Danio rerio: one gene and its partners. The protein of the gene in region 1 purifies or fractionates together with the protein of each later gene. This does not show direct contact. Links are inferred from orthologs where the notes say so. Each region holds a gene or a part of one and is shown in the gene's direction. Other genes may lie near its edges.

Region 1 (10,897 bases):
TGCAGTATAAAATATTTTTATAAAAATAAATAAACAGCCCATATATATTCAGATGTACAAGTGATTATGCTAAATTATAATATGCATTAAATGAATAACTTCTTTCTTCGAACAAATTTAGTGTTTAGAAAGCTAATGGCAAACTATAAATATTTAATGTTTTTGCCTGATCTTTTTCTTTTTAATAGTCATATAATGTGTCAGTTTTTTATTGTGTTTTGCAAGATATTTTGGATATTTTGAACTGTTGCTATGCTTAAAGTTTTTCTATCTCCTTTAAATCATGATAACAATGTAGGATAGTCATTATAGGGGAAAAAGTGAAATGTGACCCATTTTTAAACCCCATGTGTGGAAAAAGTAAAGATTGATTACACTTATTCTGATGCTTAAATCCCTTTTCTACGTCTGTGCGTACAGCTGAGTTTACTAGAACTGCTTGATATTCTAGCACAAATGAACCTGCTACTAATAATACTAAAACGTGACTGTTTCAGGAAATCGTGAGTTGTGTGTGGTAATTCACTTGTGATGTCAATATCACATTTAGCTTTTTCTTTCAGTTTTTTTTTTTTTTTTTTTTTTTGAAAAAAATCCTAAAATGTTTTATCAGTGTTTTTAAAATCTGTAAAAAATGACAACACATGTTTGCTGGGGAATGGATGGAGGCCAATGTCAAAGCTCTTTTGGGTAAACCTAACCCAACCCCCTTAATCTATTAATAAGCCTTTCCTTCCTCTTAGCCATTCATGAAAGTCAAGATGGCTGCTTGCCTGCGTTTTGTAACCTTTCACCTCAGTGGTGCGAGTCCATCCACCTTGTAGACTGGAAAAACAGTCTCTCGTCTCGATCTTTAATAATGCATCGCTGCGTGCTGCTGTCTCCAGCTATAATAATACGATGCCAGAGCTGTCAAATGGACTTTTGCATTTAATCTGGTATCATTTAATTTCAGGCATTACATCACATGTACATTTCTTGAAAGAACCGCTTACTAAAAGGAAAATGAAACTGCAACGTCATGTACAGATTGAGATAGTAATCATTACAAAATATTTAAAAGAGGTAGTCTGGTAAAAGTGAAGCTGTATTTCTTTTCTTTTTTTCAGTTGCTAAGTTGTCACAACAAGGAACTTGTTTGGTTTTCTCAGCTGCCTTTTATACAGTGTCCCCACAAACAAAACTACTGTTTGTTTTGTCAGTGCCATTTTTGTGCACTGTTTCTGTATGAAATCATGCTCTTTATAGAGTTAGAATAGATTTAACATTTGGAGGTTGTTTGTTTAAATTTTGAGCATTTAAGAGCATGACAAACAGGAAAATAATCTCGTTCTTCTGTTATTTGTTTTTTTTTTAATGCCATGCCTGTGACTAAAAATAGCTGTTAGCAAAGAGCAACTCCAGCATTATGGTTGTGACATTTGCAGTAATAATTTAAAACATAAATTCACAGAGACAGTATGCGTTAACATTATATTGAAACACCTGTTTATATTTTCTAAAACTACTGAAAAGAAAGTCAAAGGATCAGAAAAATGTTGATTTGTAAACATTTGATATTTTTAAAAATGAAAATAAACATGCGTCATGGATGTGATCAAGCGGCACCCTCCTGCTCTTCCTCGTGAAGCCAATATGGAAGTAACTGAAACTGCAATTCATCAACTCTCCTTTGGGGGCAGGCTCCAGGAAGTCCAGATATTCACTGACTGCAATGCTAAATTAGCCAATTTTACAGCTGATAAAAACATGTTTACAGCCTGGTACAAAAGATGGTTTTGGTGCATATTGTTAATATTATCCTTTATGACATCTGTGAGGTGGTGAATTTATTTCGAACTCATTCGTTTAGTTTTAATTAAGTCTGCATAATTAAGGGCGTAGCCACTTGAGTGTCAGCTAGGCCTCGCCGGTTATGCCTGGAATTCATAGCCTTGCTTTTACTAACACGGACTATGTTTGAAGTATTTGGGAGTTATTCGTGTTTTCCTCCTGTAGAAAAACACGTCATGAAAACAATGCTTTATTGATATAAAACCCAGCACATGTGGTCAGAACACAAGAGTTGCAGGTAGAGAAGTATTAAGCATTTCTCCTTAAAAAAAAAAAAAGCCTGTCTAAGCAAAATGTTATGCTCCGCCTCTTTGCCCTTTTTTGGTCAGCCCAGGTCATGCGATGACATGCAAACATAATGATGACAGTTGGCCACGCCTACTTGTAGCTTAATTTGCGCTCTTCAGAAATCTACGGGTGACATCACAGTAGGGCTGGGCGATTTTTCTAATTTTTTTCGAATTTACTTTTTAAGATGATTTAATTTTGAATTAAATCGAGAAAGCGTGATTTTTAAATATATATATATATATATATATATATATATATATATATATATATATATATATATATATATATATATATATTTAATACATTATAATGGACCAATGCACTTTGGTTCACTCTATGAAGCAGGAAGCACACCAGAAGCGCCTCTCGGCGCCGCGCAGCGCCATGGATTTTAGAATTCTAAACAGGTTTCTATACACACACCGGCGCCGCCCAGCCACGATTCAGGACACAGGTGCCATCTGATTAGTTTCATGTTAAATATCATGAGAATGTGCCGTTAGGTGTGTGATAGTTTGAACTGTAATGTCCGCGCCGTGTCGCGGCGCTTCTGGTGTGCAACCTGCTTGACTGCCTGTTAAAGCGTGAAGTCATGTAGGATTTCACTTGTTGCATTAGTCTGAGTCACGTCTGTGTGGATTGTCAAGACATTCCCTCATCAAGTCGATAAACTCGATCTCAACATGTATGAACGACGTAAAAGCCTGCCATGTGAAAAACTGCGCCGATCTTTTGGTTTGAACCTATGGTTTGAACACGAGTTGAGGTGAGGGCCTGTAGCAGTGAAATGAAAGTACCCGCCCCCATGACATCATTTAGCGGACCTAGTTGAAAACCAGACAAATCAGGCAGCATAATACAGAGAGTGGAGCAAAGCGCATCAAAGGATCGGTATTTAAAAGGGGAAAAAAGAAAAATAGATTAACTGTATTAATTTATATTAGACACACATCTGGTACTTGTATTTGCTCCTGCTATACGTCCACAACTTCACGCATTGGGTTAAATTAGGCTTTACAGTTTCCATGTTCAGTCCTTTTCTTCCACTGTATCTTTTTAATTTAAAGGCAGCAGCATTACAACCTGACATTCAGAAGAAGACAAAGTCAAAGCCGAGCTGACAGCCAATCTTTCCTAGGCTCAGCAAAACTTGCAAACAATACCTCTGTATTCCTGCAACTGCAATATTTACTCAAATATTTCTTGTTCAAATCTTCAGCAACGCTATTTAACTCGTAAATTTGTTTTACATTTATTTACACCTTGACCGATTTTTGTATGACATGGCCATTAAAAATACAATGTTCCTTAACCAGATGATTTTTCAAGTTACTTTTAAAGAGAGTTTTACTTCAGTCATGTTGTAATGTTTTGAGAAGACTAGTAACACAATAAAAAAAAAAAAAAATCTGAATCGTGAATCGGTCAAACTTTATAAAAAAAAAAACTAGATTTTTTTTTATTGCCAAATTGCCCAGCCCTACATCACAGATACTACCTCTATATGTTTTAGTTTATAAATGTGACTAAAAAAGTTTGCAGTACACAACATACTTTGTAGAAATTTTGTGAATTAAACTGCACTATCCAAAATACATAATGCTAATCAAAAGAATAAGAGTTGGTCCTTTATAGAACAAACATGATTGATTGTATTTTATTTGACTTTTTTGCAATTATTAGGAAAAATCTTTGTTATGGATGTGACAAATGTGAAATTGCCACTTTTGTGACTCTGGTAAATCAAATATAATTGTTTAAAAAATTTGACAGAGACGTTTATTTTCGCTCTACTGTAAAATACAAGCCCACACAAAAAAACTTGAAAAGGGTTTCGCTATTTTGGTGAAAACTTTTTTTTTTTTCATAGCAAGATTGACATTTGCATGGAATTGCTCCAAAGCTGATGACTAACCTTTGATTGTTTGAGTTAAAGGAGACACATTTGACTGTTCTTTCAAAGGCATTTACTCGAGTATAATGTCCTTTTTGTCTGTTCTCTTTTTCAGGTGTGTGTTGAGTGTATTTGCTGTGGCAGAGGACATTCCTGCTGCATGTGTCCTTTACTCAAAGGTCTGTCCAGTTTCTACCGCCTGTGGTGCCTGTAATGGGCCAGAAGTCCCAAAGAGCACAAGCATTATTTTATTTTTAATCAGAGTTTTTACTCTGCTACGCTCAGGTAAAGCCTATGGGGTAGTTATTAGAATACTCAAATGCATGAGCACAACTCTGTTTCACTCTTACTTCCTGCATCTGAAAGCCACCCACTCGCATTTCTGCATTCTTCAGCAGCACCATGTTTTGGAAGTTTGATCTGCACTCGACGTCCCACATCGACACGCTTCTGGAGAAGGATGACGTTACTCTGACCGAGGTGATGGACGAGGAGGACGTCCTGCAAGAGTGCAAGGCTCAGAACCACAAGCTCGTGGACTTCCTGGTGAGGCCGCAGTGCATGGAGGATCTGGTGGTCTACATCACCCAGGAGCCGAACGATGACGTGGAGGAGAAGATCAAATATAAGTTAGTATCTGGACTGTTCGTTGTAAGGCTGCGTAAATTCGAACATTGCGGCGCTTTTTTTATTCTGCGACATGAATACAATTTCACCAGATGACTTAATATCTCTATTCAAAAAGAATTTATTATGAAAGGTTGATTATGCAGTGGGAGTGCATCTGCATAAAATCTAATAAGCAAACTATGAATCCAATAAAGAAAAAGATACAGTTGAAATAAACTGTTTTATCGTTCTCCAAGTCTATCAGTATTCAGGTACAGTAATTGAAAATAAGATTACTCGTTATTAACGTTAAAAATGATAGAATTTTTTAATCTTTATACAATCACAGGCTTCAAAAACACATGCAACTGTTAAATTATAGTACAAGCTCAACATTGCATATCCTGCAGTGTGACCATTGCGATATCGATGCTGAAAGGATATATTGTGCAGCCCTAGTTTGTTGTCTAATTTGAAGCATGTGAGATTTATTAATTGTTGTTTTGGATTGTTGTGTTAAAGGTATCCCAACATATCCTGTGAACTCCTGACCTCAGACGTTGGCCAGATCAACGATAGGCTGGGTGAAGATGAAAGTTTACTGATGAAACTCTACAGCTTCTTACAGAACGAGCCTCCGCTCAACCCACTGCTGGCCAGTTTCTTCAGCAAAGTCTTGAGCATACTTATTGGGAGAAAACCAGAGCAGGTGCGTGCCCAGACAGGTTATGCCAGTCCCTCCAGAATTTTGTGACCAAAAAAAATTTTTTTGTGACTAAAATGACTCTGATTTTTCCAAAAAAAAAAAATGCCTTTAATAATAAATTTATTATAGTTTTGCTGTGAAAATATACACAAATTTGCACATCTAAATTAATCCTTTTTTTTTTTGACCTTCAAGAACCATTGATCTCTTTTATATATAACGGAAACACTGAGCGAACTAAAGCCTGCTCTATCATATTGGAAAATTAAACCAATTGTTTGAAAATAAATGCTAAGTAGTCTATTTTTTTGGCAGCAATTTATTTATTTTTTATAACCCTTTTTTTTTTTCATTGAGAAAAAAACCTACATACATACAGTACCGCTCAAATCCTGACAAGAAAAAAATTGACCATATATCAGTTCTGTTGGAAGTACTCTATCACAGTGAGATTAGCTTACTACAAAAAGGTACTCAAAACTCTACCTCTCAAACCACCACTCTTAACATTGATAAAAATGTTTATGTTCATAATAAAATAAAATAAAAGGCATATTATACATGAGTAACATTTACAATCATAATTTGGAACTGGCTAAGCCAAAAATGAAAAATTGAAGCAAGGTGTACACGGACAATGAGAGCAAAAGAGAAAGTATAAAATTATTATAAGATAATTACAAAATAAATAAATAACAAAGTTTTTACTTTTTTTTTTTTACCGCTATTTGAACACATTAATGGAAATGATGCAGAGCTTGCACTCTTATGCGTTTACATGCTTATTAGTTGAAATGTGAGAGTGGAGGCTACACCTATGATGAAAGCTGGATATATACAATATATAGAAGTTTAGCAATTGACAACTCATGTGGGCTAGTACAAACAGGCTTTGAATGTGTGTGCCGATAATTTCATAATGCACATTGCAGAAGTGTGTATTGACAACCTGATGGTTTGGCACATTAAATGAATATTTACAATATTTACAATAATATACAGTTATGCAGATGGTGCTTTTTGGCATCATTTGAACGAAGCCATGACTGCACAAAAATTGTAAGAAGTCTGCAGCAGTTAAAAACAATTTGCAAGCTCCACAAAGTTTGCAAAATTAGCCTAATTTTGAGTTTATAATCAGCATTTACAGAATCCTGGAGGGCCTAATATGTACACTCTTTTTACTTTGTATTAACATGAATGTCTTGCGAGCACAACCATGTGTTTGGTCAGTATATTTAAATTATTATTAGATGTTTTGTACCTATTTAAATGCATTTGACCAAAGCAATCTGGTCTAATGCAGTTTTGAGCACCTCTGGATGTGGTTTCTCTCTCCATTAAGCTTTGTCCACTAGGCATGGGCCGCTGTAAGAATTTGTCAGTATGATAACCTTGTATAAAAATGTACTGTTTCACAGTATTGTGATTATACTGCTCTAAAATATATTCTTTTTAAATGTCTGGCCAAAAAACAAAAGCTTTTTTCCCCTTTGTTTGAACACATATTTTATATCTTGTTTTATATACAAGGATACCTTGAAATGGTTATCCCATGTCTATTGTCCACTTGTAATAAGGTTTATGAAAAATCTTAGTGTCTGGTATAAACAAGCCCATAACTGCATCAAGTTGAGCTAAATCTGATGTTTGCTGCTAGATCGTGGAGTTCCTCAGGAAGAGGGAAGACTTTGTGGATCTGATGATCAAACACATAGGGACCTCGGCTATTATGGACCTCCTGCTCAGGATGCTCACCTGCATTGAGCCACAGCAGCTTAGACAAGATGTATTAAATGTGAGTTCTTCTACCCCTAATAAGTATTTGTAAGCTTGCTGTAAAGGTGTGTCGGTCTTGTTGTGGTACAGGGGTTTGGTGTTTTTGTTTTGTAAATATTGACGTGTTTCATTTGAATGAAATCTCTGATTATTTATGTAATCCACTAACTGTCATTGTAACAGCATCTCACAGTGTCCTCTTCATTTGTTCTTCTGCAGTGGCTAAATGAAGAGAAAGTTATACAGCGGCTGGTTGATATGGTACAGCCATCACAAGATGAGGATGTAAGTTCATTCAAACAATCAATCACTTTTTGTTTGTATATTTTATGGAGCATCTATGTTGTGGGGTGTTTTTAATTATAAATTAAAAAATAAAATGTTATTGGAAGTGTTTCTATCTATAAGAAAAAAAATCTAGTTATGAATAATCTAATATTAATTGATAAATGTATAGAAAAGATGTTATTATGTAGTTATTTATATTTATGAATAAAACCTTAAGGCATTTGATGAATATTAAAAAAAAAACAATGCTTATGTAATAATAATTGCCAGAATGTGGTAATTTTAGAACATGACCAAAGCGTGTGTGTGATTTGTTATCTCTGCTTCAGTTCAAATATAAATTAAAGCTGAGAAATAATATTTTTCCCACGATGATGCCTCTTGTACATCATCTTATTGTCTTTTTGGGAGAAGCCCGTGTCGTTTTCCATCAATAAAAGTAACATTAAGTCAGAATTTGCCAAGGGTATGAATGATTTTGGCTGTGACTGTAATCTTGTGAATACATTCTTTATTTTTAAAAGTTTTTTTTTTTTTTTTTAAATACAAATAGTACCAAGTATTAATTATAATAGTTTCTGTAATATTAATCGTTGTATTCCTATTGTTGCACGGCTGACCGTCCCCTATTGTTCTATCCTGGTAAGCTGTCCCTGCTCGCTAGCCGTGTAACAATAATTGCTTGTTCCCTTCACGTAGAGACACTCAAACGCGTCCCAGTCGCTATGTGAGATCATTCGGCTGAGCAGAGATCAAATGTTCCAGGTCCAGGGCAGCTCGGAGCCTGATCCCCTGCTGGCCACTCTAGAGAAGTGAGTTGCTCAGTTTCTATAACAGTCTTTCTAGTGACTTCACAAACTGGCATTTTTGGAGGGATTAAGGTTGAGCTCTAGTTTCAGGCTAATGCTTAAGTTCTGAATTGACCGTTTGTCTTCCTATTCAGGCAAGAGACAGTAGAGCAGTTGCTGTCAAACATCTTTGACAAAGAGAAGAACGAGTCTGCCATAGTCAGTGTAATTCAGATTCTTCTAACCCTCTTTGAAACACGGAGACCAGCGTAAGTGCAGTCTTTTTTTTCCTTCTCTCTCCCCCCAGGTTTCTTGGGTCTGTGTTCATGTCATAATCTTCAGTTTTCTCTTTCAGATTTGAAGGCCATCTGGAAATTTGCCCCCCTGGAATGAACCATCCGTCGTTCTCCGTCAATCAGAGCATTCTAGATGCCGTCAGACCCAGACTTAAAGATTTTCACCAGCTTTTGCTCGAACCCCCAAAGGTGAGCGGGAAAACACTGCGAAATGTGTTCGGGCGAAACTTTAGCACATTATATCAGCTGACCTCACTTAGAACGTAATCTCCGAATTCCTAATTACATTAAGCTCTGCACAACGAGACTTTGTGCCTGTGCTAATATAACCTGGCAGAGTCTTGGACCCTTTCAAAGAACAGCTTGTCTTGCGTGCATAGCTTAAATACATTTAAAGATGTATTTATGTACTCAGAAAACCCTTTAAATTTATTTAAAGGGATAGTTCGCTTAAAATGAATATTGTCATAGTTTACTCATCCTTTACCTGTTTCTTATTTCTGTTAAACACAAAAGAAACTTTGAAAAATGCTGAAAACCTGCAACTATTGACTTCCATTGTTTGTTTTTTTTTCTACTATGGAAGAGGTTACAGGTTTTCAGCTTTCTTTAAAATAGTTGTATTTTTAAAACAGGTGTATGCCAATTAGATTGCGCCATGCAAATACCCTTGAACAGGTTATAGCTGAACATGTTTAAGACACACTAGAACAGTAATGGGATTGCCTGTTGATGAGATATTTGCATTATTTTGTACTTAATATATCTGTTATTGTTACATTTTTATTAGTACGAGACATGATCAATGTGTTGACTGCAATTATTTTGCACTAAAATTAGGCCACATGCAAATGTTGTTATTAATGAAATAGGCTGTGTTTACAGTGCATTCGTTTTCTACTAAAAGTGATCATTGGTAATGATGTATTGTTTTTGTAACATGGTATGAACTGTCAAAGAGCATGTGTATATGTATTTCCTGTAAATACATAGCAAATTTTGGCATGTTGCAAAACATTTGCGTCTCGTGTTTTTTTGATGACGTCACCAGTGACTAGTCGACGTCAATTCGACTTTAATAACATAAGTCGACTTTCAAAAATCTGAAGTTGTTCAACCCCTTCTATACATTAAAGCTATATGATGTTGAAATAATCTCATACATTTATTTTTCCTCAATAAATATTGCGATATGAAAAAATTTAATAAAATGGCTTGAATAGTTCTATTTGACAGTTTTCTAGAGAGTCTAACAGCATTCATGTACTGAAATGGAATAATCGCAATGCAAAAAACGCTTTTTTTTTCTTCTTCTTCTCGGATCTCATTTTAGTCCAGATATCTAAAAATCAAAAGGTAAAAATATTTATTTGTTTTAATTTTTAGAGAAATTTGACAAAATTAAGACTCTTCCTTAACAAGCAATATTATCGGCCAATTGGCTATGTAAAGTAATCGTATTTTTGTAGATGTAGATATTTAGACTGGAAATAAGACTGAAACTATAAGTAAGATTTATTTTATTTATTTTTTGCATAAATTCTATAAATAATTAAATGCAATTAATCTTTGTTACACCTCCAAACATCATCATTTTTTTCTGCCCAAATGGTTTCACCCAGGGGTGCCCAAACTTTTATTTATAAAGGGCCAAAAACCAAAATATTTCACTAAATATTTAACTAGAAACCATAGCTTTGTGTTAAATAATACAGTGTACATTTAAGTTTTATATTAAACTTATTACAGTAAAATCAATCACATTTAGAACAGAATAGAGTTACACTAGTCAAGCAGCACCTGATTTTACCTTGATTTGCTCGTAGATGTCTTCTGCATTGCCCGCTATCTGTTGAGTGACAGCTGTATATACATTTTTACAAAGTATCTATCTACGTATTTGCAATTAACATTTAAATGAAACCTTTGAATTCAGTTGGCTTTTTTTGTAGCTTAACAATAAAACAAACAAAGATATTTTAAATGACAATGATAATCTTTATTAAAATCATTCGCCTCAACCCTGCCCATCATTCTTACTCTCTTCTCAAATGGGATGGTGGCCAAATCAAAGGTTACAATGGACCAACTAAGGCTCTAGTTTAAGCATTATAAGAGAGGTTAAACCAGATATGCCCAGTCACAGGCCTTAAAAACGCATGCAAACGATAAACTTCCACTTTATTATTGTTAAAGTTAGCAGTGACTCTACATATCACGTGTTGTGTTCTGGTCAACTATGATTCCGACTCAACATTGCATATCTTGCAGTGTGACTATTATGGATGCGCACTTTGCGATATCGATATTGAAACTGTAATATATTGTGCTGCTCTACTATACATCTACTTTGTAATAGCCAGTGCAGCTAGTATGCCAATAAACATAAACACCACAATATTATAAAGTGTAG
Region 2 (11,633 bases), on another chromosome or scaffold:
AAAAATAAAAAATAAAAAAAATAATAATAATAAAAAAAGAATTCGCTCGAGGGGCATCATGGGATAGCGCAGCATGCATGGGATGCGCACTCCAGAATCTCGCCGGAAGTAGTAAGTCATCCAGGTACTTCTCGAATACTGATTTTCGAATTCTATGAATTCGGACATACTACTCGGCTCGCATACTGATTTTAGCGTACTATATAGTATGGAAGTATGCGGAGGAGATGCGGAGCGATGATTGGTACTGAGGGAACGTGATGGTGAGAGAGAATGGTAAATGGAGCAGCAGGAACAAGTCGGGGATGTGACACTATACAAGCAGAGGCAATGTTTTGGTTCCATTGTCTGATCATTTTAAGATTAAGCAACTGCTGTTGGTTTTCAAGTGTAGTACTGTGAATACAATTATTTGTTTAATTTAATTAGTATGGAAACATCTAATTTTACTATACAGATATACAGGGGCAATTCTAGGATTTTTTTTAAAAGGCTGACACAGTGGCACCGTCTCCCTCCTGTGCCAACCTATTAAAAATACTATAAATGTGGTAGTACATCCCCAATAGTATCTGGATGCAGCCTTTATGATGCAAGCTGAGACTGCATCACTTGCAATCCCAGACACAATGCACTCAAATGGAGCTAGTGACATCACTGTGTGAGGGGTAGGGTTAGATGTTAGGTGAATCCATTCAAAAGCATTGGATATAGCTCAAATTGCACTGCACCAGGTCTACAACATGACATCACAAATGATCAGATATGAAACCAAAATATCTATCTGCTTGTAGACATGGTAAACATGGCCACAACTTAAATTTGTTTGTAGAACCACCCTTATTCAATGTTCAAAGCTAACTTTCTATTCATAAAACATTTTAAATGAGTATGTTTATAATTACAAATGAGTTTGATGAAAATAAAATATGTGTGAAATAATGTTCCATCACTGTACATCATTCAGTGTAACAAATATATGGATTAAAATAACAAAAACATACTTATTCTGTCCTGTACTTATTAAAATGTATAAAAGTTAAACTTTTATCTTAAAAGAAGGCTACATTTATTGTTAGGCTACATTTAGTGCTACATTTACATGCTTTATGTTACACCAATGGCATTGTTGTTGTCCTCTTTATAAACATTTAAAATATAAGATGACTATTTGACTTATATCCATCATTATTATCTGATACTGCAATCTATAAAGATTGTTGTGCAGCTAAATAATGATGTGATTTAATATCTATTGAAATTGGCTGTAGTGTGTGTGTGTGTGTGTGTGTGTGTGTGTGTGTGTGTGTGTGTGTGTGTGTGTGTGTGGTGTGTGTGTGTGTGTGTGTGTGTGTGGTGTGTGTGTGTGTGTGTGTGTGTGTGTGTGTGTGTGTGTGTGTGTGTGTGTGTGTGTGTGTGTGTGTGTGTGCGTGTGTGTGTGTGTGTGTGTGTGCGTGTGTGTGATGCAGATGGAAGGGCATCCGCTGCATAAAACATATGCTGGAAAAGTTGACAGTTCATTCCGCTGTGGCGTCCAGATAAATAAAAGGACTAAGCCGAAAAAAAAATAACCTAGTTTCAAGTCGCCTGTCAAGAACCAGACTGAATGTCTGTTTCTCTCGCCTCCTAGCAGCCATCAAAAAGTAGGCAATGTTAGCTTTAACCTTTAGCGTCATCTGGTGTACACTGATAAAATAGTCTGTTTCTACCGTGTTTATTTGGCGCTTGTTCAAATGTAGGCCTACGTCAGACTCAGAATAGTTTGTCTTTGTACCTATTCAAATAAAACTTAAACTTGTCTGCATGTATCATGTGTTAAATGAATCTAATTCCTATCCCCTAAGATAACTTTCATTTTCTCTAGAAACTATCAGCCGAGCTCCTTTTAAGGCACAATACAAGGAACCGGTTTCATTGTTTTCAGCGCAGACTTATGAAAACATTTGTGTGTATTTCCTGTTATGCAAAGAGAAGACTCAATGAAAAAGAGACCAATACGAGCATGGTTTTCTCTTATTTTAGTGTTAATTTACACTTAGATAGCCTATATACTCACTCAGAATTTTGAAGTGTCTCACTTTGCCATATATAAAGTGAATTGCCAGAAATTAATAAAGGCTAAATATATAATTTTAATGTGTCTACGTCTAATTTACAGAATGAATACTAGCCTACTACTTGTATTAGTTTTATCATGGTTATTCATGAACACATTTTTTTCTCCTCACCACTGCTTCATTTGGAACAACCTAAGTATTGTCTACAAAAACAAATTATTATTTTTCAAGAATATTTTTTGACTGATTTAATAGTCAATTATTAGATAGCATTGCATTGGTAAGTTATATTTATTTTCTTAGTTTTTAAAAAAGCTCAATTTTGAACCCTCAGTATACAACACAGTAATTAATGCCATTTCCATTTAAAAACTTTATTGAAAGGAGTACAAACTTTTAATTTGGATCCTACCGATAGAAGGGATATCAATAGTTGAAAACAAATTCAATAATCGTATAATGCAGAATTATTTTAACCAAAACAATTCCACCTTCTTCTTTTAAATGTCTGGCCACGTATAAAATAAATTGGGATGCTACTTGGAATCTTCCACATAAATATTTGCTAACCCGTTCATTAATTAATTTTCTTTTCGGCTTAGTCCCTTTATTCATCAGGGTCCACCACAGCGGAATGAACCGGCAACTTATCCAGCATATGTTTTAAGCAGCGAATGCCCTTCCAGCTGCAACCCATCACTGGGAAACACCCATACACTCTCATTCACACACATACACTACGGACAATTTTAGCTTACCCATTTCACCTACCACACGTCTTTGGACTTGTGGGGAAAACTTGAGCGCCCAGAGGAAACCCATGCGAACACGGGGAAAACATAAAAACTCCACACAGAAATGCCAACTGACCCAGCCAAGGCTTAAACCAGCACCCTTCTTACTGCGAGGCAACAGCACTACCTACTGCACCACCACGTGGCCCCTATTTGACAACAAAGTAAAAGAAATCACTTACAAAAATATTACATAGTTGCTATACTTGTAAAAGTTTACAGCAGCTTAATTGGAGTTCACATGGTTAATTCAGTTGATTGAACATGATTTGAAAAGGCATACATCTGCATATATAAGGTCCCAGGGTTGACAGTGCATGTCAAAGCACAAACCAAGCATGACGACAAAGGAATTGTCTGTGGACCTCTAAGACAGAATTGTCTTGAGGCACAAGGCGGGGAAGGTTACAGAAAAATTTCTGCTGCTCTAAAAGTTCCAATAAGCACAGTGGCTTCCATCTCCCGTAAGTGGAAGATGTTTGGAACCACCAGGACTCTTCCCAAAGCTGGCGGGCCATCTAAGCTGAGTAATCGGGGGAGAAGGGCCTCAGGGAGGGAATCAATAACCTGATGGTCACTCTGTCTGAGCTCCAACATTCTTCTGTAAAGAGAGGAGAACCTTACAGAAAGACAACAATCTGTGCAAGCAATCTACCAATCAGTATAGTGGTCAGACTAAAGCCACTATTTGCCTGGAATTTTCTAAAATGCATCTGAAGGACTCTCAGACCATAAGAAACAAAATTCTCTGGTTTGATGAGACTAAAATTTAACTCTTTGGAGTAAATGCCAGGTGTTACGTTTAAAAAAAAAAAAAGGCACCACTCATCACCAGGCATCCCTGTGAAGCATGGTGATGGCAACATCATGCTGTGGATATGTTTTAAGCAGCAGGAACTGTAAGACTAGTCAGGAGAGAGGGAAAGATGAATGCAGCAATGTACAAAAACATCCTGAATAAAAAAAGCACACCGCCAAAAATCAATGGAGTGGCTTCACAACAACTCCTTCACAACAACTCCCTGAATGTCCTTGTGTGGCCCGGTCAGAGCCCATACCTAAACCCTATTGAACATCTCTGGAGAGATCTAAAAATGTACATTGTCACTTACCATCCAACATGATAGAGCTTGAGAGGTACTGCAAAGAGCAATGGGCAAAAATTCCAGAAGACAACTGTGCCAAGCTTGTGGCATCATATTCAAAAAGACTTGAGGCTGAAATTGCTGCCAAAGGTGCATCAACAAAGTATTGAGCAAAGGCTGTGAATACTTACTTGTGATTGTTCAGGTTTGTTTATTTTTAATAAATTTGCAACAATTAAAAAAAAAAAAAATTTTTTTTTGCATTGTCATTATGGGGTATTGTGTGTGGAATTTTGAGGAAATAAATGAATTTAATAAATTTTGGAATAAGGCTGTAACAAAAAATGAGGAAAAAGCGAAGTGCTATAAACACTTTCTGGATGCATTGTACGCTCCTCTTTTAACATTTTTGTATTAAATGTTTCTATATATGCATTTCCTGTAGTAAAAGTGAATTTAATAAATCGTGTTAATAACTAAAATTGGAAAATGTGTGCTATATATTCATATGCAATTTGATAATTTGATAAAGTGATTTTGTTGTATAATAAAACTATGTGCTGGTTCTTGTAAAAAGCAAAAAAAAAAAAAAACAACAACAACTCATAAATAGTGGATGGTGAGAAGAAGTTGCATTTACCATTATAGTTCATTAGTGTCATCAAAAGTCGGAAAACTTGTTTCCTCTTTAAAAATAATCGAAAAAACAGTGTAACAGTAAAAATGTAAGTTAAACAGTGGAAGGAAGTAACTTTGCGATAGAGAAGCACACGCTTCTCTGAAAATAAGCTGCAGCGCCCTCCCACACACACACAAACACACACACACACACAAACACACACACACACACACACACAAAACAACGTTGTACGATTCACATGCAAGCGTCTCCCCCATTATCCAATCACTGTTGTTCTTACTCTCGCTCGAACCGCCGTCTAACCAATCGTCGTGTTCGTTTTTTCAGAGGTAGCAGTGGCGGTAATGTTATGGAGTTTTCTCCCCTGCTCATCAGTGGCAAATAGGAGACCCAGGCCTACTGGATACGCTAGTTTTACCGGCTCTTAAAAATCAGCATTCAAGTGGTGGTGGTGAATACATTACGTTTAGTCCTGCATGAGAGCCAACGAGCGCATCGAAACATGGTGGTTCTCAAAATCAGAGACCAGGTAAGTGATGTCAGAAAAAGCTAGCCGAGTTCGGCTAACAAGTGCTAACACGCTAGTCAACTGCCCAACAACATCACAGACGATCACACTATCCGATACCACGGAATGAAAGCTGTTTAACAGAGTAAATACGCGCTGCATTTCGCTGTAATAGAATAATAATTTGAAACGTTTTTATTTGGGTGTGTGTTTTCTCGTCCATTGGGATTGTGGCTAGTAGTTGCTAAGCTAAATGTGCGCGAGCCACGATATTAGTTTATCAGATCACAGGCTATTAAGTGTACTAATTTTGCCTTCTGTAATATGATAAGTGTAATTTTAAGTCGCACAAATCTACAGTTTTATCGTTGTGTACATGATAAGGCAACAGTTGGCTTCGTGAGGTTAAATGGTTAACATTTCTTTGCATTGCTGGCTGTAAAAGTGCATATAGAAGTTGATTTAGCCTTTTTTCATTGCTGGATTTAAAGTTAATTACAGCGATAACTTTCACGACAGTCTGTTATATGACAACTTTTCAGAGTGCACGACAGGTGTATGGCTGTCTTTCAGGGATGGACAAACTTGGTCACTGGTCCCAGAGAGTAGAATAATTCAAATAGCAATTGAAAGAGTGTGATGGTGAATTTGCTTTTGGCATATAAGTTAATGTAAACTTGACTGTCTTTATTCAAGCGAGGTGTCTTGCATGGTGCTGATTCCAATTTAGAGTGACCTTAGAAGTGTAGCAGAGATGTCATATATTTTGGAAATTTGACCTTTGTAATCATGACACTGCCAAAGTTGCTTTATTTGATTACTGCCATTATAAAGCAGCCATATTACTACTTCGCTCTGGATATCTACATTTTTAAATGTGTTTATTTAACATTTACAGGTTTATTTTGTGCATGTGTATATATATATATATATATTTTTTTTTGTATTTTTAAAAAAAAAAATTTTTGAACCAATGTAACCATTTTCATTTATTTGATTAATGCTTATAAGTACTAAATATTGATACAAGATGTTCAATTAAATGATTAGAAAATTCATTTAACTTGTAACGATTGTAATGATTCACTTGACTCAATTCGATATGATGATACGATATCATGATCCTAAGCTCACCATACGGTTTTAGTCATGATTTTTAAACAAAATTATTTGAAACTAATTTAAGGTGAACAAGAGAACTTTCATTTTATTCTTAAACGCTGCACACTTTTTTTTGTAAAATATAACATTTTCTGCTATAACTAATTAATTAATAAAAAATAATAATACAAAATAAAGAATAACTCATTAATATAAATAAACAAACTAAAACTGTGACTGCTGGGATTTGACATTTTAAAAAATAAATATTGGCAGCATATCTTTTCTGGTATAAGCTGCGGTCTTTGCACTTGGGATGCTCGGATCAGGGTTTTTGCAGCTGATACAAAGTACTGGTATAACCAATTCATAGTGATTGTCCAATATAGAGCAATTACCAACCTACATCACACATGACGTCACACAGGTTCCCGGTTACAAAAAAAATTTGAGTCCAAAAATAGAAAACTTAACTTTTACCATACACCACACACTGCTTTAATACCGACTACAGACGTCTTTGGCTAATGGCTCGTTTCCACTGACTGGTACAGTACGGTATGGTTCGGGTCGTTACGGGTCACCTTTATCAGGCTTGCGTTTCCACTACCAAGGGTACCCTTTTGGTGGGCGTGGTGTATGACAAAGTTTCAGTCGACGTCATTTTCGCTCAAGAAAATGTCTACAATAAAGCTGCACAGGTCGTTCACATATCATATGAAAAGCACTTCTCAAAAAACAGATGCTTTACACACATAAATACTTGTGTAAATGTTTATTACTAACTTTTCTATAAACAGTAGTTGATTATAACTGCAGATCAATGATGGTGCGAAATAGCCTTCTGTAACATCTATAATTATATTAAATAAATAAATAAATGAACTTATATGAACACATACAGACCCTTACAGTCTCCGATATGTTACCAACTACAGAAGAACTACACAAAGCAGACATTTCGTCGTTAATTAGGTTCAAAACAACACAAAGTATAGCCTACAGTCAGTGAAAACCTCTCATTTGTGTCTGTAATCTTCAGCAGCACATGAAGCCTCTGTTAGAGAGTCATTCCATCATTCCCAGTTTATAATAGTCCAAAAGGTGATAATAAAGATTAAAACAAGGCAGTTTGTTCACGTTTGCTGAAGAAATAACGTGCTCCTTGGCTTCGCCTTTTTCCCGCGCTCCACTCTCGCGTTTGTCCTTTTCTTTCTGAATGTGTCAGCTTCTCACAGGATCAGGTTTCCAAAGCTTGTCAATAATCAAGTGCATGTTATTATTATTAGATCAAGAAGTTTGTTATTTCAGATAGAGACGCGCGGCGAGCGCAAGAAAGAAAGCGAAACCACTCGGGCTTCAGACTGGCTCGTTAAAAACTTCACGGCACAGGGTGAACCTGCTCTTCTTCATGGCTTTGTGGCTGTTTATCATGACGACGACAGGGTTTGTTTGCAGGATTGACCATGGCTGCATATGTATTTATAATTCCGCTGTAATCTCTCGCTGTGTATTTTAAACATGGCGGGTCCTTTGTTTACATTCTGGCTTGTTGAGTCTACGAATGACGTATCCCTGTAAACCAATAGCGTTCAGCTGCGCGTGTAGCTCCACCTTTTGGGACCCTTTCTGCAGTTTGGGACCCTTTCGAAAGGGTCCCGAAAAAGTGGTACGGTACTGTTTGGTTCTGTATGCCTTTTGACAGTGGAAACAGCCATAAAAGTGTATCAAACCGTACCGTACCACTCAGTGGAAACAGACCATAAATGGGAGCTGAATAAAGTGAGGAGCTAATTAGAAATGCTAGACTCTGCAGTTTTCATGTCATATCAGGTAAGTTCACACTATGCTGAATCACACGCATTACTCGTTTTTGATTGCAGAAATGCTTTCAGCAAAAACAGTTACTTCTGGTTAATTAAACTGCGGACACTGAATACTAAGAATGAAACGTGAAAGTTAAGTTTATTAAGGTAAACTTGGTTTTATATTCACACATTCATTCAGTGAGAACTTGTGACACACTCCCTATATTGTTTACCACGGCACTTTGAATACTCGGTCTGAAATAACCTGCAAGTGTGACTTGAAAACAACATTAAGACTGTTTATTTGACTGTGAACAATGTTGTATATTGATAGTCATTGGCTGCTGATATGATTTCGCTATTTAGAGTTTACAAATAATATTTTTATGAAATTATATCGTTAAGGAGAAAGTCCGAATGTGCGAATATAAAACCGACTTTACCTCTATAGGTTCACATACCCTGCCCTACAGGGGCAGTCCAGTGTCAGAATGCAGTCGTTTTGTGTGTCGGTGATTAATTACCCAGGCCTTGTGTTACGTTAACTCCATCTTCTTTCCTTGTCTTTGGCTTGGCAGAATCTCGGCTTTTAGCTCTACATAGTGTTAAATCTGGTCATCATGGAGCATTATTTCTTGCACATGACCACACAGAACATCATTGTTGGCATCCAAAGACTTGTAGATTTTAGGGCTGTGCAATTAATCGAAAATCCGATTTCGATTTCGATTATGGCTTCTAACGATTATGAAAAACCATTAATCGAGATAAACGATTATTGCATCATATACCAAAAGCGCGAAAGACCGCGTGTTTATGTGCGTGTACAACACGCACACACGCATAAGCACGCGGTCAGCATTCGGTCTCCTTCGCACACTGAGACGAGCAGAGGAGCGCAGACATCTAAAGTAATCTTAACATGAGTGCTTTAATGGTCAAATAGGTGTCAAAACGCGGCGATTAGTGATTATTCATATTAACCCTCATTTGTGTAATAAACAAACGAGTTGAGAATCAAAAGACACGTGAAAGAAAAACCATTAAAGTTACAGTGCGAAATGCTGCCGCCTGTTTTATCATTAATCAAACGATGAGAACATCCCTTACTGCTCCTGACTGAAGGACTATCAGTCGAAGTCAGAATTATTAGCCCTCCAGAATATTAGCAACCCTTTTCCTCCAATTTCTGTTTGATGGAAAGAAGTTTTTTTAAACTTATTTCTGAACACAATAGTTTTGATGTATCATGTCTAATTACTGATTTGTTTTATCTTTGCTATGATGACAGTACATAACATTTTACTAGATGTTTTTCAAAATACAATCATTTAAATTAAAGTGCAATTCAAAGGCTTAATTAGAGTAATGAGACAAGTCATTGCATAACAGTAGTTTCTTCTGCAGACAATCAAAAAATATATTGCTTAAGGGGGCTAATAATATTGACCTTAAAATAGGTTTCAAAATAATTAAATCTGCTTTTATTCTAGCTAAAATAAAACAAATAAGACTTTCTCCAGAAGAAAAAAATATTAGAAGAAATACTGTTAAAATTCCTTGCTCTGTTTAACATAATTTGGGAAATAGTTATTTAAAAAAACAAAATTCTCAGGAGCGCTAATAATTTTGACTTCAACTGATAATCGTGATTACAATTATGACCAAAATAATCGTGATTGATTTTTTCCAAAATCGAGCAGCCCTAGTAGACCTTTAACTTCTCTCTTGTAAAATCACTTGGAGCTTCAATGAGATTGTATAATTGGGGCTGGATGCTTGGTAATTTAGTCTTATCCAATATCCATTGGGTGGGTGCTATCGCAAATGGACCTGTCAGATGAACACCGCTCACTTTAATGTTAATTTTGCAGAATCACTGTGTTTATCACTGTATAAATAATATATATAATATGTAATCAATATATCTTATTTCTAAGACAACAACAAACTCTGCACCGCATCTGATGTCATTACCTCGCTGTAAATGCTAGCGCTCCCGGTTTCTTTCTGCCACCTCTTTGCGCGCGCATCCTGAATGTTTAAAAACATGGTAATTAATCTATAGAGTAATGATTTTGATGCTTCAAGCTATATAATGCACAAAGCACATTTTGCCTACAAGTATGACACTTAAAGGTGCAGTAAGTGATCTGCCAAAATGCTAATCGCTTAGCATCTTATCTTTGGATTGCGGGGAGGGACTGTGATTCAAAGCCACACCCCCTGAAATCGCAAGCGCATGCACCGCGTCACAACAGCAGACAGACAACCCACTAGTTCATGTCATTCGCCAGTTAGTTAGTGTTTGGCCAGCGGCGTGCAGGAATTACTTTTATTACTTAGGCACACTTACATGCTATTTCAGAGCGAATATTCAGAGTAGCATGGTAAACAGTATAGGAAGGCTGTCATTTTTTAAAAAAATGACCCAATGTAAATATATATGCAACTTCAGCTCAATAAAGCAGTTAGGCGGAATAGCGCTATTTACTGATGTTTTGTTGTTAAACTAAATATAAATCTACATTATAGATGCTGTCAAAGGACCTTATGAAACTGAAAATAATCACATCAATCTTATCTTTCACTGGGAGGTTTCAGTGGCTGAACAACACGTCTGTGCATATAAGTCATTCATAACACAACACAATCTAACATAAGCTTAGCCTGACTATGTTTTAAAACAACTTTACCTGTCTAACAGTAATCCTTCAGCCATGGTGTTGTCCTTCCTCCCGCGTGCTAAAGTAACTCTAATATTGATTCAGGTTTTTAAAAGTTTCAATTCACCATTTGATTTCTCCCGGTCTGTCTCGTGACCGCACGGCTGCTTTAAGGGCGAATACTCTGGCTTTACAGTAATCGGCCCGAGCTCGTCTGTCCTTCGGCGCCTCCGACTCTGCATCGGTGAGCAGCCCGCAGCTTGCTCGAACGCATGCATTGGCGCTAATTGCGAATCTGCGTGAACAGATGCGCAGAAGTCCTAATCTACATATGCTGACAGACAGTCTGACCTGCTTATCGGAATTATGGGAGATGTCGGCCCAACTCTATTTAATTGGATGAACATTTTTTAGTTTTATGCTTTAGCCAGAATATAAAAATACATATAAACACATTTAGATCATTTACTGTAATCATTACTATTGGACTGTGAAGAGACTTTCAACGAGCACAACAAAAAATGCTTCTGAAGACAATCACCTACTGCACCTTTAAGTGGAGATCTCTCCTTACCTAATGGCCTGTTTCCGCTGACTAGTACAGTACGTGTCAGTGTGGGTCACCGTTATCAGGCTTGTTTCCACTGCCTTAACCTTATGAAGCGCTCGATGAAATCTCGGTCAAAGTAAAGCTGTATGGGTCGCTCGCATATCATATAAACCAGGGCTCGAAATTAACTTTTTTTACTTGGTAACACCCGTGCTTTCAACTTTAAGTATTTAGGAGCACCAGAAAAAATTTAGGAGCACCCACCAAAAATGAATGAGCACCACTGCAAACTGTATATTAGGGGATTTATTGTATTTGAAAACAACATTAATTAAGACTAACAAAACCAGAAACAACTATCTAACTAAAGCTATGATGGTTGAATATTTGTGCAATAACTCCAAAATAATGTCTAATAATTGTA
Region 3 (11,422 bases), on another chromosome or scaffold:
TTTGTCTTTTCCATAATGACAGTTTATGATCCGTCTTTTCGATGAGATGTTAAACAGAGGTTCTGACTCTCTGTGGTCATTTAAAATCCCGTTGCACTTCTCTTAAAGAGTAGGGGTGTAACCCTGGCCAAATTCCCTCCATACCCTTCAAAGCCTCCCAATCATCACCATCCACCGAATTAGCTCTATCATTGTCTCTCTACTCCACTAATTGCTAGTATGTGGTGGGCGCACTGACACGGTTGTCCTGTGGCAATTAAAAGGCCTAACTGTTTAATTTAAAGGCTTAACTAGATTAATTAGGTTAACTAGTTAGTTAATTAATTAATTAGACAAATTAATAAACAACATTAATTTGTTTTGTAGCAAAAACTTTAGCAGTAACCTCAACCTTAGCAGTTTTTAAATTGTTTTGAAAATTTTTTGTTTTACATTGCAGCCAAACACGATTAAACAAACAAAAAAGAAAAGTGTAATAGAAAATACTGTGAAAAATGTGAATGTTCTGTTCACTTGGGAATCTGTGTAAATATAATATGTATTCTTGTAATTTTTCTAGAAAATAACAATTTGTTAATTTGTTTTATTTATTTATTTTAATTGCAAATCAGGGTTTTTCCACTAAATATTGATTTTCTGACACTTCTCATTTTAAATCATTTGTATTGTGTTGTCTAACAAATAAATATAGACATAAAGTCTAAATAATCTAAAAAACATTTTTGTTATTTTATGCCAATTGTTGGTTAAAATAAAAAAAAAACATGTATTAATTTATTGTATTTATTTCTGCAGAATATCTTTTTTAAATTGGCTTGAATGAAAGCATAAAAACTTTTAGCCATTTTTAAGGTCAATAATATATTTTCGATTGTTTAGAGAACAGACTACTGTTATTCAATAACTTGCTTAATTATCATAACTTCCCTACACTGTTAAAAATGCTGGGTTTCATACAAGCAATTTGTGTTGGGACAACATTAAGTAATTAAGTTTACTTTTTACAAATTTAAGTGAATTGAACATAAAACAAATAAGTTGTCCAAAAAACTCAAGAATTGTTTAAAATAAGCTAAAACAACAAAAGTAATTTAAGCAAACAACAAATGTAATTTGTTTGAGTGTAGTTAACATAATAACCTAGTGAGGTCTTTAATTTGCACTTTAAGCTGAATGCTAGTATCTTGCAAAAGAACAAGTAAAATATTATGCACAGTTACCATGGCAAACACAGAACAAATTAGTTATTAGAAATTAATTGTCAAAACTATTATATATGTTGAAAAACTCTTCTCTCCATTAAACAACACTTGAGAAATGTTTTTAAAATAATAAAAATTTCACAGGAGGACTAATAAAATATGAACATGAATTCATTTGTTGGGTGTAAACATATTTCTGTTTTATTCATAAATCATATTTCTGTTCCTGCTGCAGGAATACTTAGTTAAATGTCTGTAGGTGTTTAACTCAAAGTGTAGTAGACACTGGAGTTTTATTTGTTAGTTGGACAGATGTTTATGTCACTGGTATGAAAAAAGTGATTGTGTTATCTCCCTCTGTACAGTACAGTGTTCCAGTGATTAAATATGACAGGAATGGCTTTCGTCCACGTTTCAGACAGCTTATCTTCACTCAGGCCGCTGCGTATCTGGTGGAGGAGGCCAAAATCAAACAGAGGGTGAATTACAGCTCTCTAAAAGGTCAAATTTCAGTGTTGTTCATTAATTAAACATCTCAAATTGTGTGAAATGTCCAATTAATTCATAATCCATGGGTATTTTTATTTATAAATGTATGATATTTTGATATTATTAATATTAATATCCAGCAATAATTTTTCTTCTGTCTTGCCTACAACATGGCTACATTTTGGCTGCCAGTTAAAATCTATCTGACTTTGAAAAACAGTCCAAAAATAGATTAGTTTTCTATTAGAGTTTCAATGACAGGCCAAATTCAGCCTTGTTTTAGCCAAGATGTCTATTAAACTAAATGGTTTAGTGGAATATAAAACTAGAATTTGATATTTCATTTAGAGATGTGTAAATATACCTCTTGATGTAGTTTTGTTTTGTTCAGACTATGTTGTTTATTTAGTCCTATTTTAATCCTTTTAACAGTCCTGTAACATGTCACTGCTAAATTAACCAGTACAGTAGACAAAGCATAATGTTAAAAATAAATCTATTTGTTTACAGTAATGAAAATGAGGCTGTGGGGAATGTGAGTTCTATGGATTGTACTGTTTTTTAAAATACTGTACTGATTATTATGCTAACAATAACAGTTTTCTAGAAAGTGGAAATCAATTGAAAAATTAAAAACAATTACTGATCAGAAGACTGGATGTAGTGCATGTCATTGTGAAGACAGTGTCTGTCTTTCAAAGCCTTGTTTTCCTTTAGGGTAAATTAAGACATGTCTGTAGTCAAGTTCATTTCCTTGTCAAAAATTTTATTTACATAATAAATATTTGCTTTTAACAGGGGTGTCTGTCAGCAACTTAAGTGACAACTTCCTGATACTCCATGTCGCGTGTGAAGACACAAAGCAAAAAGTGGGTGAATAACAACACTATATATATATATATATATATATATATATATATATATATATATATATATATATATATATATATATAACCTACAATATCACTGAAATATAATGTATTTTTTAAGGGAGACCTGGTCTTGCAGTGCAGCTATCTGTTTGAGGCATTGACAAAAATCTGTGTAGTGACAAAGAACCGCAGCCTCATCAAAGTTGTACAAGAGAGGTGAGATATTTTGTCTAAACAGCCTCAAATACACAGAGAAAATATTTGTTGTGTTTAAAATGAATGTGTTTTACATACAGTGAATTTTTTCATTGTTGTTTTTGTAGCGTGAGGTTTGACATCCAGCCTGGGAAAGAAGGCTTTGTTGATTTTAAGAGTAGCAGTGAATCCATGGTCTATAGAGCCAAGAACGGACACTTGATGGTGGTGGGTCTACATAATGCAATCTAAATAACATAATACACATATTATAAAACAATACATATTTAGTGCTGTTTTTTTGTGACTACAGATTAAGCCAGATTTTATATATATATATATATATATGTATATATATATATATGTATATATATATATGTATATATATATATATATATGTATATATATATATATGTATGTATGTATGTATGTATGTATGTATGTATGTATGTATGTATGTGTGTGTGTATATATATATATAATATGTATATGTGTATATATATATATATATATATATATATATATATATATATATATATATATAATATGTGTATATATATATATATATATATATATATATATATATATATATATATATAATGTGTGTATATATATATGTGTGTGTGTGTGTGTATATATATATATATATATTTGTGTATATTTAAACATCATTTGGGAAATATTTGAAAAAGGGAAGAAAAAAATCACAGGAGGGCTAATAGTTTTGACTTCAACTGTATGTTTATCATTATATATGATAATAATACTATGCTATTAATTAAGCTATAATATCATGCAGTGTAGTTAATAAATAATTCAATAAATAAAACAATTGACATCCCTTCACAGTGATCATTTATACATATTTACATGTTTTCTTTTGCAGGAATCTGCACGAACAAAATCTCGATGACAAAGTTTTACCTCACAGACTTCTCCACAGTGGAACAGTAATGCATGGAGGCACACAAATTAATACATTCATCAGCTCAATAAGAAACAAAATAACATTTAGACCTAAACAAAATATGTGAATCACATGTGGGAGGCATAATATGTGCTTTTAGGGTTCCTCAAGGGATTAGAGTTGGGTAAAACTGCTTTAGAATATTTTTAAAAATGACTTTATTCTTCAAGGGACGAATAATAAAACTTTATTCAACAATTTATTCACGTACGCACATTTACCATTCACATTTATTAAGAAGAAAAGTCAACAAGTTGAGCTGGTGTATTAAAATAGCTGGACTTCTGTTTTTTTTTGTTTTGTTTCGTTTGTATAATTTGAAGTGTTTAAATTCTGTATTTTTAGCTGTTTACTGTACATTGTTTTGTTGTGCTTTTTATAAACTCATATTTTGTTATAAATATTCAGCATTTCATGAAAAGGACTAATATTTCTTATCAAATGGAATTGAGTTTGTCTTTGAGCTTGCTAAACTGTGCACTTTTCTGATGGACAAAATGTATGTTAATTGTTGCTTTAAAGCGGAACTTTTTTTAAAAAAAATTGTCCAAATGAAGTGCTGTAGCCTACTTGTTAATCTCATACATTGGGTATCATGACAGAAAAACTTATACTGTGCTCATTTTTGTATTTGTATTTTGTTTTATCTCCCATACTGCCAAAACCTGACAACATGCAACATGCCAGCTTCATTGCATTGACAAACATACACGTAAGCTGGTTATGCCCAGAACACATGAGAAAAAACAATGTATTTACATAATTTGAATAAAGTTTCAAATATAAAATGCCATTTAATATGAGATACAGAACATATGTAATATTTGTAAGCTGTAATATGATATATGTTTGATAGTAATTCCTGGACAGCCAGTTGTTGTCATGCTTTATCTGAACAATCCATTGAAATTTGTTTGGCTGTTGTCTTAAAATGCAGCAGAAATATATGTAACTTAATGAAATCAAGACGGTAGACTCATTTTTATAATAATGTATTGTACTTTTTTAATTTGTGATGTCTTTTTTCTCTTGGTAATTCAGTTCATCTATTGTATAAACTATTTGCAGTGGTCATCACTTGGTGGACGGTTCCTGATGTTTCCAACTAAAGCATACAAATAAAAGCAATGTAATAAAAGTAATGTATGAAATCATTTTTTTATTAATTCATTTTTTTATTGCAATAACAACAGGCAATTTTAAAAGACTGAAATACAATCAGATAGAAGTATAGCACAAATAATATAAATATTTTTTCAACAAGAGAAAAGGGACAATTTTAAAGAAATATAGTAAACGTAAAGCAAAAGAAAGACAAAGAAGAAACAAAAATAGATGAGAGGGCACATGAAAAAAATAGACAAATTAATGCAGGATATCAAATAAAGCACATATTTTATAAGTTTTAACTGCTTTCTTGTTATGAGAGTCTGTAGTGGTTTTCAAGTGCAGTTGTTATTCTCATTTGGCTTACATTGAGTATATTTACATTTATGAATAAAAAAAACTTTATAATAAATAATATGAGGTTTACAAAAAGTTGAAATAGTTTTTTCTTTAATATAAAACCCCAAAATGACATGTAAAAAGAAAAGAAAATTCACCACACACCTTTTGGAGAGAAGGCTACGCGTCAAGCAAACCTCTGTTGCCACCTCGTGGTCAGTCAGTAACTTGAGAATGTTTTTATAATAAGCCGAATGGAAGCAACCGCAATTGAATCACTTTAAAAAAAACTTTTTTTAATAAGCAGGCTCTTGCTAAATTAGTTTTTCAAGTTTACTTTGAGAACGCGATGAACAGAATGTAACGACTTTGCAAGTTCCATATAAAATCTGGCCTGCGATTGGCTGATCATCTTGTCAATCATCACCACTCTGTGTGACGTAGAAAGACTTCCTCTTCGCGTCTTCCATCGACTGTTGTTCTTAAAATGGCGCCGTTGGACCTGGATAAGTATGTTGAAATTGCGAGGCAGTGCAAATATCTACCAGAGAACGACTTAAAGGTGATTGATCTGAGTAATTTTATGTTTCTCTTAGAATATTGGACATGCTAGCGATTGATGTATTTATAAACTCGTGTTGGTTGTGGCGGAAGGTGTTAAAATAGCAGTGTGTCAGTGCAATGCAGTCGCTGCGTATGAGTCCAGTCTATTATCTTATGTTCCGGGATTGATTTCATTCGTATTTTCAGAAATAATCGTATATAACGTTACGACCGTAAGGACAGTTGGGCATAACAAAGTTGTGTAAGGGACTATTTTCTTGCGGACACATAGGGTGGCTAACTTCTGTTGCTATCATGCGAACTAGTTTGAAACGCCCATTTTATGCTTTCCATCATCAACCTTGTTAAATCTTAATTCATGACATCTGCGTCTTTGTTAGCAGGTTTCAGGTTTGATTAAATCGTCCTCCATTCGTTTGTTTTTAAATATAATTCTTGTACGTAAACAACTGGGCTTCTGGATCAGTTCATAATGATGCAATGCAACGTCTTACCAGTTTCATCCAGTACCGCCAAATATGACACAAAAATAGCAACAGTGATCAAACAAATGATTATACGATGTTGAAATAATGTGGCTTAGGAAAAAAAGCTCATTTTTAAATTAATAAATGTGACCTTAGATGCGCCGCTAGATCTGCTTCTGTCACCATCGTTGATAGCATTCACTTGACAAACTTGTTCAAATCTTGTCTTCATTTCTATTGCTTTGACAGAGATTATGTGACTATGTATGTGACCTTCTGCTTGAGGAATCAAATGTACAGCCAGTATCCACTCCAGTCACTGTATGCGGGGACATTCATGGACAGGTGTGTGTGCAGGCTCCATTAATGCATCCCTGGTATTGATGTTGAGCTGATGTCGTGTTTTTGTAAAAACATGCATACTGACTAAGCTTTTTTTTTTCTTTTATAAATAGTTTTATGACCTATGTGAACTCTTTAGAACTGGGGGCCAAGTACCAGATACAAACTACATTTTCATGGTGAAGTATATTACAACAATAATTTTAATTGATGATTTGTGATTAGTACTGCGTTGGAAATTGTTCCACCATCATCTATTGAGGAGACATTGGTATGTTTTCTTTCATCCAGGGTGACTTTGTTGACCGAGGATATTACAGCTTAGAAACATTCACATATTTGCTAGCACTTAAAGCAAAGTGGCCTGACCGCATCACACTGTTGCGTGGCAATCACGAGAGTAGGCAGATTACACAGGTCTATGGCTTTTATGGTAAGGCTGCAGAAATCAGAGATTTTGAAATATTTTGTTTTGAATTTACTTGGGATTTTAATTGTTTTGGCTTTCTGTCTACAGATGAGTGCCAAACTAAATATGGAAATGCTAATGCCTGGCGATACTGCACTAAAGTATTCGACATGCTCACTGTTGCTGCCGTAAGTGTTGATTTTGGAATACCTATCTGTCTGTCTATCTGTCTGTCTGTCTATCTATCAATCACACATCTCAACATTATCAATATTTGTTTTGGTCTTCTTACTAATGGGCCTCACTCAGGAAACACATGTTTTTGTTTAAATCAAATAATTTTAGGATGTTTTTGTTTAAATCAAATAATTTTTGGATTAATGAAACTGTTTATATTTCTAAGTATGAATTGGTATAAAAGAAATGTAGGAAACTATACATCCAGTTATTGTCTTGCGCTTATCCGGAGCTAGGTCATTGGGGCAGCAGTCTCAGGAGAGAACCTCATACTTCCCTCTCTCTGGGCACTTTCTCTAGTTCCACTGGGGGATCTTAAGGTATTCCCAGGCAAGCGAGTGACAGTTCCTTTAGCGAGTCATTGGTCTTCCCCTTAGCCTCCTCCTGGTGGGACAAGTCCAGAACAGTTCTAGGAAGCATTCAAAATAGATGTCTTGGCCACGTCTCTCCATGTGGAGTAGCGACTCTACACTGAGTCCCTCCTAAGTGATAGAGCTCCCTCACTCCATCTATAAGGGTACCCCCTGCCTCTCTGCGGAGGAAGTTAATTTCGACCACTTGCACCCAAGATCTTGAATTTATAGTCATGACTATAGGGCTGTGTCCGAAATCGCATATTTCCCTATTATATACTATGTGGAAAATCAACATGTAAGTGGAGCAGTTTGTCTTAATTCATATTATTTGGAAAAAACAGTATACGAGAAGTACTTGGAACACCTCTTGCTTCCAGTGAGATTGTGAAGTGTGCATCCGATAACCTCTACACTATCCTATGCGCGCTGTTTGTGTTGCTCTGTAATAACTCTTTCGAAACGCTAGCTGGCAGTGAGGTTTTTATGTTCCTCTGTGTCGAGTTTCTTCACTGTTTTTTTTTTTTTCGCTACCTCAATGTAGAACAGGGGTCTCAAACTCAATTTACCTGGGGGCCGCAGGAGGCAAAGTCTGGGTGAGGCTGGCCCGCATAAGGGATTTCACAAAAAAAAGTCCTCAAATGTCATTATTAACAGTTTTAATTATTTCTTCTGAACATGAAGTGTCCTGAACATTAATAGAACATTGAGTGAAGATTATGAACAGTTCTTCTGAACATGGCATCTTTTGCCTACTCCTTGCTGCCAGAGACTTGACAGCGCTTCTTCTCACAAATCTGAACCACATTTGGCTTTAGAGCGGAAGCAGTTGAGACCCTCAGTATGGCTTGGGGGAACTCACTCAAAACTTCCATTCCCTCACCTAAAAAAAAGGCGTATATGTATAAATAAAACACCCCCACCCCACTCCAGTCACATCAGTCTGTACCAGTCTGTATCTACCTATAATATATATAAGATGCAGGCTGTAGCTAGGTAGGTGGCAGGCTGCAGATAGGTAGCCAAGTGGCAGGCAGGGGCTGGAACAGCTTACCTTGGTTCTGGCCGGCGCGAGTTCCCTCCTAACACTTCCCGCCCGTCACAGCGTCTAACAAAGGGGCGGGGTGCGTGGTGACTTCACCGGCATCCCCGCCCCTTTGTTTACACGGCGGGCGGGGAATGCCAGTGACCGCTGTGTACGGATAGAATCAGCGGAGCGGGGAGCGCTCTCTCTCCCCGCTCCGCTGATTCTGTCAGTGTACAGCGGTCGGCGCGGGCCACAAAATATTGCACTGAGGGCCGCAAATGGCCCGCGGGCCGCGAGTTTGAGACCCCTCAGGGCTCGAAATTGCGCCCATTTTGGTCGCACATGCGCCCGAAAATTAATCTATGCGACCTCATAATATATTTGGGCGCATTAGTGCGACTGCAGATAATGGTTGTAGTGCGACCTGTTTTGATTTTTTGTAAAAACGTGCTGAATCGCTCTTCCCTGCCGCTAAATTGGTTCATATTAGCTTTCATTCACTCAAGGTATTCCGCTGTCAGATGACAGGAAAGGAGCTTTTATGACCACGGGAAATGCAAACGGCTGAAGAGTAAAGACTTAAAGCACACAGGTTTGCAAACCCCACCTAAAGTTGAGGTGCAGATGAGAGCGATCATGACACGTCACGTGGTGAATAATGATCCACCAGCTGAGATCAATTGAGTACGCGCTTCTTGGAGAAGGCGCCCGAATCTCCATGCGTCGCATTCACTGCGTGTTCAGCGCAAATGTCCGCTAAAAGTCAAATCTAATACTGTACATATCATCGCCAAAGAAGCTCGCCTTTACTAAGTTTACACTGAAACTGCGGCTCATAACAAAGAGCGGTATTTCGCCGGTGGTCATCGCAAGAATCCTGCTCTGCCTGCTCATAAATTGGGTCAGCTGACTCGCCTGCTTTTCCACTAACACAGAAAGATGAAGATCAGCTCAGACTGAACCTTTAAATTGACACAAACTGAAACCAAAACTTTTAAAGAGTGATAGAAGTGAGACTTTACTTTCTTTCTTTTGTCTATTCTTTTTTTGAGGTGTATATTATTTTTGATTTATTTACTGATGACTGCTTTGCAGCTTTCATCATTGAATTGAATGATTTATTATAATCTTTTGTTTGTTTTGTAGCAGAAATATTATTTAATAAATTGATGTGCATATAAAAACAGCAGTTCAAAATAAATATTTCTTACTGCAATGCTTCATTTTTGTTCGATGCAAACTATACAGTTATTTTTCATAAAGTAACAGACATTTTATAGCAGATAACATACATTCATGCACATTCAAGGCAGTATCATAATGAGAAATGTAATTCATTGTTACTATTATTGTCATTTTCATCATCACTAATATTCTATAGCCTAATTATTAGACATTCATTTTGGAATTATTTCACACGAATATCAATGTCCTCGCAGCATTAGTTAGATAGTTGTTTCTGGTTTTTGTCAGTCCTATTGATGTTGTTTTAAAATACAATAAATCCCTTAAAAAGCAATTTGCAGCGGTGCTCATTCATTTTTGGTGGGTGCTCCTAAATTTTTTCTGGTGCTCCTAAATTTATTTTGGTGCTCCTAAATATTTGAAGTTGGGAGCGCCGGTGCTACCAAGTAAAAAAGTTAATTTCGAGCCCTGCCCCTGATGTAGAAGCAGCTCAAACTAGCTCATTTTGATGCAGGAACCGGCGGACGTGCAACAACTTTAATCATAAGATAAACAAAACAACCGTTTCTGGTGGTCCTTTACAGGTCTCGACACTTTGTCACCTTAGAATTATCTATATGATATTTTTGTCAAAATTGAGTTATTCACAGATGCTTATTAAGTGACAACTTATTTACATTATGGGATGTTTTTTTATAAGTTGTTTACATTTTAAGACTTGAATTGACTGATTTATTATAATCTTTCATTTGTTTTGTAGCAGGAATATTGTTTATTAAATTGACATGCATAAAAACAATAGGGCAAAATAAATATTTCTTACTGCAATGCTTTATTTTTGATTGATGCAAACCATAAATTTATTTTTCATAAAGTAACAGACTTTTACTGCAGATAACTTGCATTTAAGCACATTTAAGGCAGTATGATGATGAGAAATGTAATTAATTGTTAGTATTATTGTCATTTTCATCATCATTAATATTCTGTAATTATTAGACATTCATTTTAGAATTATTGCACAAATATCAGTAAGTCATCACAGCATTACTTAGATATTGGTTTCTGGTTTTTGTTAGTCCTATTGATGTTGTTTTAAAATACAATAAATCCCTTAAAATACAATTTGCAATGGTGCCCCTAAATTTTTTTGGTGCTCCTAAATTTTTTTCTGGTGCTCCTAAATATTTGAAGTTGGGAGCACCATTTATCTCTTATGCACTATGTCGCCGCAGCTTACTATGGCGAGAGAGGCGAGCGCGAGTAATTAAAATGTTCCAACTACGTAAAAACGCAGAAATTGTGCACAATTCACTGCACGTGGGTTTGCTGGACATTCTTTTATTGACACTTGCAGCAGAAGCCCATGTTTCACTATTTTGGAGAAAATAAAAGTAAACGCCATTTTTCTTACTCTTGCTGTGGACCTTTGACCTGCTGTCATGAGGTATAGTTTCCTCTCCTCTTGGCTGTTGATGTTCTTCTGGAAATATGATACTTCTGGAAAAAGACACAAGCGTGTGTCTGCCCAGCGAGTTTTCTTCTCTGCGTCTATCATGGATCAGCTGTGATGGCAGAGCGTTAGAGCCAATCGCAGCCCTTTCTGTTAAACGTGTGACTAATCATTGGGGTGTAAGAAAGAACTCTTTAGACAAGGCTTAGAAAGC

The links.
Region 2: the proteins of ppp6r3 (region 1) and ankrd28b purify together in Homo sapiens (co-immunoprecipitation; 3 studies listed by BioGRID and IntAct, with this or other methods). This does not show direct contact. The link is inferred for Danio rerio from reciprocal best matches to the Homo sapiens genes PPP6R3 and ANKRD28.
Region 3: the proteins of ppp6r3 (region 1) and ppp6c purify together in Homo sapiens (affinity purification with mass spectrometry; 10 studies listed by BioGRID and IntAct, with this or other methods). This does not show direct contact. The link is inferred for Danio rerio from reciprocal best matches to the Homo sapiens genes PPP6R3 and PPP6C.

Annotation. Positions count from the first base shown.
Region 1 is NC_133200.1:11,434,149-11,445,045, reverse strand, and holds part of ppp6r3 (serine/threonine-protein phosphatase 6 regulatory subunit 3), read left to right. Parts: intron 1-4,133; 5' UTR 4,134-4,303; intron 4,304-4,413; 5' UTR 4,414-4,420; coding exon 4,421-4,647; intron 4,648-5,149; coding exon 5,150-5,336; intron 5,337-6,993; coding exon 6,994-7,131; intron 7,132-7,331; coding exon 7,332-7,397; intron 7,398-8,099; coding exon 8,100-8,212; intron 8,213-8,343; coding exon 8,344-8,457; intron 8,458-8,543; coding exon 8,544-8,673; intron 8,674-10,897.
Region 2 is NC_133191.1:21,399,088-21,410,720, forward strand, and holds the start of ankrd28b (serine/threonine-protein phosphatase 6 regulatory ankyrin repeat subunit A), read left to right. Parts: upstream 1-4,901; 5' UTR 4,902-5,078; coding exon 5,079-5,105; intron 5,106-11,633. UniProt on the Homo sapiens protein: Regulatory subunit of protein phosphatase 6 (PP6) that may be involved in the recognition of phosphoprotein substrates. Involved in the PP6-mediated dephosphorylation of NFKBIE opposing its degradation in response to TNF-alpha.
Region 3 is NC_133180.1:32,592,868-32,604,289, forward strand, and holds the start of ppp6c (serine/threonine-protein phosphatase 6 catalytic subunit), read left to right. Parts: upstream 1-5,581; 5' UTR 5,582-5,658; coding exon 5,659-5,733; intron 5,734-6,451; coding exon 6,452-6,547; intron 6,548-6,657; coding exon 6,658-6,723; intron 6,724-6,835; coding exon 6,836-6,977; intron 6,978-7,061; coding exon 7,062-7,141; intron 7,142-11,422. Other genes in the region: myo1hb (unconventional myosin-Ih), read left to right, coding at 1,568-1,703, 2,490-2,560, 2,682-2,779, 2,887-2,986, 3,645-3,671.